Linked DNA regions of Arabidopsis thaliana. The protein of the gene in region 2 interacts with the protein of the main gene of each other region in a biochemical or structural test. Each region holds a gene or a part of one and is shown on either strand. Other genes may lie near its edges. The genes, in order: SGT1B and PBS2.

Region 1 (5,297 bases), on a different chromosome or scaffold from region 2:
ATGGTAACACTAGCTTCTCTCAAGATATGTTTTCGAGCTATGATGGGAGCAGTTTGCTACAGACATCTTCTCTGCCACCTCTCCACAACATTCCTAACAGCTATTGTTTTTCTGACAACTCAAGACTTCTCTGCTAACAAATCTGTCCAAAAGGATTTGTTTTTTGAAGCTTCATTAAGAGTCAGTCAATACTTATAAGTAGGAAGCTGATCAGAGAGAGATTGAAGCTGTTTTTGCTTCTGAATTCTTCCTGCTACTGTCTTTTTTTATTTTACAGTGTTGTTATAACTGTAAAACAGATCCATTTGTGGAGATTTTGTTTTTACTTTTAAGTTGGTATTTCAGTTAGTATTATATATATATATATATATATATATATGAACTTCCATAAAAGTCTTTCACAAAAACTTGCATGAAACAAATTATAATCTAAAATCACTTATGGTGACAAGACTGTTTCAATTGGTTGATACAACCTGCAAAGTGAAATCCTTTACTCTTGCATCTTATAACAAACTTGTAACTTAGTATCCTTCTTGTCTGAATCAGCTAATATATACATGAAGATGGAAAGTAGCTCTGATTTCGTGAAGACAAATTCTCTGCACCCAATTACTGTGGCGAGTTTGACAATGCTGGTGCATTGATGAGTGTTGATGATAGCTTAACATGTTCATTTCAAATCCTTAAGGCATTTGAGAAGAAAGAAAGATTTGGATTCAACAACAGTGTTCCTAGACCAGGAACCCCAAAGGTGAAAATACTGTCTCACTATATAGATGCACATCGGTTTTAACTAAAGAAAGTTGGGCTTATACAACTAACCTTTTAGACCACAATGCAATTATGTCAAGAAATATTTAGATAAGCCTCTCGATAAAAGAACAAAGTTCCAAAACAACAGACTTGCGAGTTTTAGTTTTCTAATACAAAATCAAAGTATCAGAACGTTCTTTGAGACCACAACGCAAGAATGGAGAGAGACAAATTCGAGCAGAAACCAAAAAAGAAAAACACCTTAAAAGTTCAAAAGATTTGTCAGACTTTTTTTTAACAAAAACCAGAAAAGGGGATTTTAAGAAGATCAATACTCCCACTTCTTGAGCTCCATGCCATCTGGTGGAGTGCTCTCCACTTTCTTAGTCCCAACTTCTTTCCAGTTTGTCGACAGTACCGTCCCATTCGACTCTGCCTGTCAAACCCAAAAACCACCCGAGAGGAAAATCTCATTAGTCGAAGAACAAAGCAGAGTTATTAAACCAAAATTTTAAAGACCAAAGATAGATTTGCTCACAAATGATTTGTTCATTGCCCGCCTCATGTCTTCATCTGCACTCGAGTATATGTCGCTGAAAAATTTGTTCATAGCTGCATCTCCATCAAGCTTCTCATCCTTCTCCTGCGAAATTCAAAAGTGATAAGCAGAAAGAACAAAGTACAGCAAAGCCTCTAGTGTTAAGGATGAGAAGTTAGCGTTTGTGGAACCTGTTTCTTCACTTCAGCTTCCAACTTGTCCCAGTCTTTTGCTGGCTTAGAAGATGGGTACACTGGTCTCTGCGACAGCGCTGCATATGCACATAAAATCAAATGAGAAGAGAGAGAGACCACTTTGGGTTCAGTTTGTTTAAGGTTTTACGATTGTGGTTCAGAATAAAATAGTAAACGTAAGCTGGTATCTTCTGAGACAAACCTGATGAGACATTGGGTTTGGGCAAAACACTTTGCCCTTTACCATATTCAAGGGAGGCCCAGGTGATTATCTCTGCTTTCGCAAGACGGATCTCAACTTTGGTCGACAATACTTCAAATCTGCACTTCTCTGGTATTATCTGAAAAACACCCATGAAGAAGGATTTAGTAAAAGTGTGTGTGAAAACACCGTAATTACATATGTCAAATAAAATATACCTTCCCGAACAATCTCGGCTGGAGATGATAAGCTTCCTCTCCAGCAACATCAATGACAACACTCAGCTGCACCAAAATAAAGCCAAGATAGACATCTCAAATCAATACAGTGTTAAATTACAAAGAGAGATAGTTTCTGAAGTTCAGATAAAAGTCATGAATTCTCTGATTGAAGGATACTCACAATCTGCTCACCAAACTCGACAGTTACGTTCTCCTTAGGTACTTTTTTGGCGAAAATTGTCACCACCGCTTCTTCTGGTTTCTGGTAGAACTCGTGCCTGTTGAGCAATAAAGTTATGAGTATAAAATGATTCTGGAAATTAAAGAAGAATTTACATGTTAGATAACCAGACTACCTGAACATCGGTTTGGCAGGTGCTGCAGGAATTGGAACAGGAGGAGCATCAGCTTCCGTTGCTAGTGGTGTTGTAGAGCTTGAAGGCAAACTCGGTGGCATCGGCTGAACCAAATCTTTCTCTTCTTCTGAACAGAGATACAAAGACTATATCAAAATTATAGCCCTAGGCGCAGACAAATACCCAAAATCGTTTAGTAACTAATTTCTTAAGCTATGGAGTTGATGTAACATACCTGCAATACGAAGATCGCATTCATCTATCATCTTCTTAAACTTTGGTTCATTCGGTGCAACAGAAGCTCCCTTTTCCAGGGCTGCTTTAGCAGTACTATATTCTTCTAGCTTCATACAAGCAGTGCTGCGAACACAGTAGCAAAGAATCAGAAGATAGAATTATAATTCCAATCAAATTTGAACATAACATCAAATCATTCACTACAGAGAGATGGTGAAAATATCATACCCCTTTCTGAGATAGGCTTTTGCCAACGTTGGCTCCAACTCAATGGCTTTGTTCGCATCTACAACAGCTTCTGCTCATAGAAACCACAAAAAGATAAAATATCAAATCAAATCATCAAACAACAACAATTCAATCAAAGTACAGTAACTACAATTACAATTACTCAAATAAGTTTTCTTATCCGAATCAACAACCTCACAAAAGAAACCCTAAAACTAAAACTAAACCAAACCAATAACAAAAATCAAAACTTTGTTCCACTATCAACAGATCGAATTAAAGTAACGACAAAAGAACAAGACCCAGAACCCCAAAAGCGTCAACGAAGCAATACATCTAATAAAGTTTCAATCTTTAACGATGATATTAACGGTAAGGAAGAGAGTTATATTTATACCAGTGAAGTTATCGATTTTGATGTTGGCCTGAGCACGATCGGCGAAGAAGGCGGCGCAATTGGGATCCAAGTCAATGGCTTTGGAGTATAAGTCAACAGCAACATCGAAGTCATCATCTAGAAAAGCTTCTTTAGCTTTCTCTGCTAATTCCTTGGCCATTGATTCTTATCAGAGGATTTGAGAGAACACAAACAAGTCAGAGAGAGAGAGAGATTATAGAGAAAGAGACCGATTCTATTCCTCTAGGCTTTTTTTTTTTTTGCTGTGTTTGGGATTTTTTTTTTCTTTTAAGAACGTTTTAATACCTCTACTAGGTCATATAACCAAAAACAAAAAGGTAATTAGATTTTATTTTATTTTCTAATTTCCTTTTGATTTTATTTTTTAACATAAGATTGATTCTTGATAAGTCCAGATTTTTTAACAAATAAATTAGTTGACAAAAGAATAATACTGAAAAAAGGAAAGAAAACTAATGGTAAAGATATTTATAGAGAACTACAATAATTTAAAATAATCATTTTCTACTCATTTTGTTTATATCGTAATCGTTTACTCATAGTTTAGCAAATACAATGTGATTTGTGAATTTAGACTATGATATATTTTAACAAGTTATAATTTATATATTGACTAGATTAGGACCCGTCGTCCAATACACAGATTTAAGTATTTTAAGTTGATAATAATCTAGTAAAGTTAAAATATCAATTATCAAACTTTTGCCAAATATTTACCTTAAAAAATTTATTTGCAACCTCGAAAAATCCATCTAAATATGTACAGATATATTTGTCGTGATTACTGTTACGACGTCGTTTACCAGTTCGTTCTTCCTTCTTCTCTCACCCCGACTCGTTCACTGACTCGGTCGATGCTTGTACCGCTTGATTCAAGCCGATGAAGTGCCGATCTGTGGCCTGCCTATGGTCTCGTGCTCCTCCGTCTCATCGGGTCACCGCCACAGCCTCTCTAACCAATCCACCGACTCTCTATACCGGTGGATCCGATGGGTCAATCATCTGGTGGAGCATCTCTTCTTCTTCCGAATCCAATTCTGTAACTCGTCTCCCTCATCATGAGATTAAACCGATTGCTATGTTGTGTGGCCATACTTCACCAATAGTGGATCTTGCTATTTGTGATCCTACAATACTTTCAAGTAATGGAGTTGTTGCATCAGATAATGGTAATGCGGATCCATTTGTTAACTGTTGTGCATTGATCAGTGCTTGTACTGATGGTGTCTTGTGTGTATGGAGTAGAAGTAGTGGTCAGTGTAGGAAACGAAGAAAATTACCTCCTTGGGTTGGAAGTCCATCGATTTTGTCTACTTTGCCATCAGAGCCTAGATATGTATGTGTTGGTTGTTCTTATATCGATGTTGATGGGGCTGAGACTTTAGCAGATACTGATTTTCAGAAGTCGAGATGCACGGTGGTTGTTGTTGATACTTACACTCTTACTATTGTTCATACAGTTTTCCATGGGAATTTATCTATTGGTTGTTTGAATTTTATGGGCGTGGTTCAGTTAGATGAGCAGGAATCATTGCTTATGGCTGATTCGTTTGGTAGGTTGCAGTTGGTCTCAGTGTCAGAGAAATCTGAACCGAGCAAAGGCTCTCTAGTGTCTAGAAACTGGTTGAGTGAAGGGGAAATTGCTGTATCAGTAATAACTCGAGGGGATCTTGTTGCGTTTTTCTCGAAGAGTAGGTGTGTCTTTTGGTTGTTGAATCGCGAGGAGGCAATAGGAGAGATATCTTTTGTTGATGATTCGCATTCTTCAAATTTTCTGTTCAAAGAAGCAATGATACTTTACTCTAGTACATCAACTATTGAAGGTGATAAAGATGATAGTATTTCTGAAACTTTTGTGCTGTGGGATGGTAGTGGTTCTGCTGTGCTGTTTACTATGTCATATATAGATGGTGAATTTACATATAAAAACTTCGGTGAGATTGTTACTGCCCCTGATGATAAGCGTTCCGTGAAATCAACGTTTTGTTTTGTTCAGTTGAGGCAGAATCTTCTTCGCGTTGAGTCTAGTTGTTGTGATGTTGAACAACCTTCTCAGTGGAGGCCCCATATAACGATCTGGTCATTGTGCCTAGGAAATGGTAAAGAAAAAGAACTTCAGCGCAAAGTGCTTGGAGAAAGCTCCTATT
Region 2 (4,465 bases):
CAGATTGCATCATTGACTCCATCAAATTCTCTGACATCCATCTCTGTAGCAAGTCAAAGCACAGCTACAGAACTCACAAAAGCAATCCCCATCAGATTAAACCTCATCGCAACAATCACAAAGAGAAGAAATCATCGAGAACTTTTAAAATCTCACCGTACTCTCGGCTAATCCAAGCTGAATAATCCCATCCGTGTTCGTAATCCGATCGTACGGATCCGTTTTGACTCTCTCCAACCCAATGTAATAAGGCGAATCGGAAGGTTTAGCTACAGGAACTGCTCGGGAGGAGACTCGAACTCGTCCGATCGAGTTCCCGCGAGAGAAGAGATTAGTCCGTGAAAAAGTTCTCGGTAAGTCCGTCGGGTCGGAGGGAGGAGGACGGCGTCGTTTAAGGTAGAGCTGGAGAAAGTAGAAGAGACAACAAGGAATGAGAGAGCCGACGAAGAGACCACCACGGCCTTGAATTACTCCACGGAGAGGTACTATCAACCTCATCGGAAAATGCTCCGCCGCGGAGATAGTTGTTGCCTCCGGCGTTGAAGAGAGATTCGAGCCGTTCGTTGAGAGTAACGAAGTTGAAAAAGAGTCGAATAAATACAAAAGTTTTGAGATAAATTGGCAAATTATTTTTCCATATTCGCAATTTGTCTCTACGTTTTAAAAGTTGCTAAATAGTCCTTCTAATATTGGTGAAATTATTTAAAGATCTTCAAAGTTTTGAAAACAACAATCAAAGCCATAATCATGATCCAAAACACAGAAGATGAGCATTTAACCATTACATATATCTGTCAACTGAAAGGTTCTATAACAAATCTAAAATAGAATTCCATATGATAAGAAGAACATGAAAACACAATTAGAAAAGATGATTAATCTTTGAATCGAAAATCTCAGGAAAAAAAATATATCAGACCGCCGGATCAGGGCTGCTGCTATGCCATCCTTTAGTGCAAGGAGGTATTTCCATGAACTCGTCGAACTCCTTCACGTGAACATCGCAACATTTCCACTACACAAAGAAAACAGTGATATTCAATAGAAATTCAAACAGTGAAAGAAAAGGGTCACAAAATGATTGAACAAAGAACGTGTTACCCCTCTCAGTCTGTCGTGGAAGACCGCAGGACCTGGATGATGGCTACATGCAGTCTCATGATTGTCTCTCTCTTTGAATGTTTGGCCACATCCTTTGTTTTTGCAGACTTGCGGTTGATTAATGTCTATCACAGCCTTTTGTACTGGAGGCGCTAAGGGTTCAATTTTTTCTTCTTCTGCTTGTCCCGGTGTGTTCAGGGTCTGCTTGATCTGTTCTTTGGGTTGGGATCCTGTGTGGTAAAGAAGGACACAAAATTAGATAGAAGGTCATGCATGTAACCAATGTGCAACGAGAATTTAAAGACGAGAGAATAAAGATACAAACCATGGTCTGAGCAGAAGAAGCCTTGCCGGCATCTGGAGCAAGAGTCTTTTGTTGCTGCATTGGCATCTGGAGATGAAGTAGGAGCCGCAACAGGATGTTTTGGAACCGATTTGGCCAGAACTGGTTTCTCAGTTGTGTGTTTACCTGTTTTACATCTTCATTGCAAGAAACATCTTCAGTGTTTGCAATCAACTACAATATGTACCATGAAAGACAGAGGAATTATTATGAGGGGGTACAAGGATATTAGTTACCCTGGAATTTCCAAGAACAAACTGAAATCATGACTTCTTTGCTTGCAGCAGCTCCACTCTTTCATTCCGTCGTGAAAAAATGGCTGCAAGTTTGAACTTTGGTAGCTTTAATTCTCTGAGCAAGCGAGTGTGAAACAAAAAAAAAAACATAAAACAGTATTTGAAGAGTAAATTTGACTTACTCCCTGCTTGAACAAAAACCAGTAGTCAGTGCAAAGACCAGCCCCAGCCACACCGGAAAAAGAAAAGATAATAAAAGAAGATGAATTACAATAAAAAGCTCAAAGCAATAGATGAATATGAAAGAAACACTAGTATACAAGGCCAAATGTTAAGATGAATATTGAGATAAAGCCTTCTTTCTATACACAATTGTTCTAATTACACTTCCAGGGACAGTCTTAACGAGCTCTCTCCCTCACATAGCCATAACCGGTGGCAAAAGTTGGAAGCAAACAATTCAAAAGTCGCTGCATGTACGTACACTCTCCCTCACATAGCCATAAACGGTGGCAAAAGATCTAATACTTGGATTATTCAATTTTACGCAATATACTTTTGCTTTCTTCCATCAAGTGTTCTAATAAGCTCACAGTCTCACAGAATTCATAGGTTGCAAGCAAACAACTTAGTTAAAATTTGACAATTAGACAATCAAAGCTGTGTTCAAAGCTTACTTACTTACAACTAAATGAAATCTACATGTAATCAATCAGCTAATCCAAAACCTAATTAAACACTTGCGTAATCATCTTCTCATGATCAAAAATCGAAATTCGTAACCTCACATCATAAAATCAAATTCAAAAGCTACTCTATGGGTTTATCAGAAACTATCGAAGACTTAGAAAAGAAAGAGAAGAATCGATTAAAGATGGGGAGAGAAGAAGACGTACGGAAGCATGAAATTGACAAGAACCTTGAGGATTGTCGTCATCGGTGAACATGGCGTTGCAGCCAATACGTTGGCACTGAAGCTTCTTCGTTGCAGATCCTACTTCCATTATCTCTCTCGTGAATTTGTGAAGAAATCGGACGAATTGAGAAGGTAGGAGTAAAAAGTATTGGGAAATCAAATTAAAGGGCTTTTTCGTCTTTTAGAAAATTTTGACTTTTGAGTTTTGACCGGTAATGAAAACTGATGAGTAAAACGGGCCTCGGCCCAAATAATACCATGCAGAGCGGGCTTGGTCCGCTTGGACATTATTTTCATGTCCATAAAATAGCATGCGTGATGGATAATAAGCCAATATGTTACAGATTACAGGTTTTTAAAGAGTTTTATCCACGGATTTGTAGGTCTAACCCACAAGAGGAAAAATATGTTGAATGATGGGAGTGTTATTTTATAGACCTAAGCAAGTGATTTAAATGTCGGACCTATTTTGATGTTTTTGCAAAGTTTGTGCAAAACTAATCTTAATTATTTTGTTTTTCTATTTGTATATATTTCCGTCTCCAAGTTTGCTTGTATGGCCTATCCCCAAACTTCATCTACTACGTGGAAAGCCATGACTCCGGAAAATTCAATCTCCGTAATGGTGATAAGAATGGTAGATTTGCTATTTAACCAGCTGATACAGGAAACTCAACAATCTCACAAATGAAATCGAACTATAGATTGAAACGATGTTCATAAAACGCAGATTCACTTCTCACTATGCAAAAATCTCACATTAAGATTTGCCCGTAAATAAATAATATTAGTGAATTGAAGGAAGTATCTCAAACTAACAATGAGTAACAACCCCAAACACACAAGAAAGGAAGAAGAAGAAAAGTTTACAATTCTCAGATTTTTGCATAATGAAGAAGACGATGAACAACTTGATCTTAAGCTTGAGCAACTTCAGCTCATACCAATCGAATCCACGTATCTTTTCTTATTTCAACCAATCACTAAGCTCCACGTGTCCTCATATATGTGCTACTAAATTCCTATTTCACCAGCCTCTTACTTCATTCCACCTCAATCCTTTTCTATACTTTGATGTCATTGTTCTTCTAAGGAGGGTTCTTTTTTGTTATTTTTGTTGTGCATTGCAATGGATTTATACCTCTAAATTCATCTAGTTGTTGCTCGCACTTTAGATATGTGGAGTTTGAGCACACAATTATAGAACTCTGTGGTTTCTATTGAGATTCTTATTTGTGATGAACATTAAAGAAACAACAGCATATAAGGCTAATATCGTTACAACGTTTACACCAAGTAAAACAAGCTATAAGCGCTTGAACTACACAAGAAGGTAGTGAATACTAAATATATACGATATTACAAAAAATAAAGAGTTAAGAAAATACAAAAAGCAAGTCTTGGATCTGATTTGGTCAGTTTCAAATGTTTTTTCTGCCTCCTAGTTGAGTATATCGGATCAAAATCTGTTTTTTCTTCTTAAATCTTCAGTCAATGTACAAAAGAGAGATCACTTGGTTCTGTTATGTACTTCTATCAATGATGCTTTCTCCTGCAAACTCTACAAACAAAACTCTCAGTCACGACCTCACAAGTCAGTTTCCTATAATCAATACATCTATTTTCATTTTTATGTCATGTCTTATCTCAGTTCTTAAATATAAATAGATCTGGAAAAGAGAATGACCTCGTTCGGAGAACTGTTCTCAGAAGGGAACCATCGAAGCAGGACACCGAGGTTCATTGCACTCGGTATTAACTTGAATAGCAACGGAGTCGTTACCTGTAACAGCATTTTCAGGTAATCAGTTTTGAACTAAATATTATTTTAAGTATGTTCTCTTAGAATGGAAAAGGCTTGTTTGCATA

The links.
Region 1: the proteins of PBS2 (region 2) and SGT1B are reported together in a solved structure, tested with the Arabidopsis thaliana proteins (one study listed by BioGRID).

The regions. Positions count from the first base shown.
Region 1 is NC_003075.7:6,850,431-6,855,727, forward strand, and holds SGT1B (phosphatase-like protein), read right to left. Parts: upstream 3,483-5,297; 5' UTR 3,290-3,482; coding exon 3,130-3,289; intron 2,803-3,129; coding exon 2,733-2,802; intron 2,628-2,732; coding exon 2,503-2,627; intron 2,395-2,502; coding exon 2,268-2,394; intron 2,190-2,267; coding exon 2,093-2,189; intron 1,975-2,092; coding exon 1,909-1,974; intron 1,830-1,908; coding exon 1,691-1,829; intron 1,566-1,690; coding exon 1,486-1,565; intron 1,400-1,485; coding exon 1,295-1,399; intron 1,193-1,294; coding exon 1,085-1,192; 3' UTR 754-1,084; downstream 1-753. Other genes in the region: AGL52 (AGAMOUS-like 52), read left to right, coding at 1-137; AT4G11270 (Transducin/WD40 repeat-like superfamily protein), read left to right, coding at 4,031-5,297.
Region 2 is NC_003076.8:21,000,460-21,004,924, forward strand, and holds PBS2 (cysteine and histidine-rich domain-containing protein RAR1), read right to left. Parts: upstream 2,828-4,465; 5' UTR 2,685-2,827; coding exon 2,577-2,684; exon of another isoform or gene 1,866-2,576; coding exon 1,863-1,865; intron 1,764-1,862; coding exon 1,681-1,763; intron 1,582-1,680; coding exon 1,427-1,581; intron 1,332-1,426; coding exon 1,102-1,331; intron 1,016-1,101; coding exon 914-1,015; 3' UTR 685-913; downstream 1-684. Other genes in the region: ACS12 (1-amino-cyclopropane-1-carboxylate synthase 12), read right to left, coding at 1-64, 157-498; KEA5 (K+ efflux antiporter 5), read right to left, coding at 4,107-4,157, 4,284-4,379.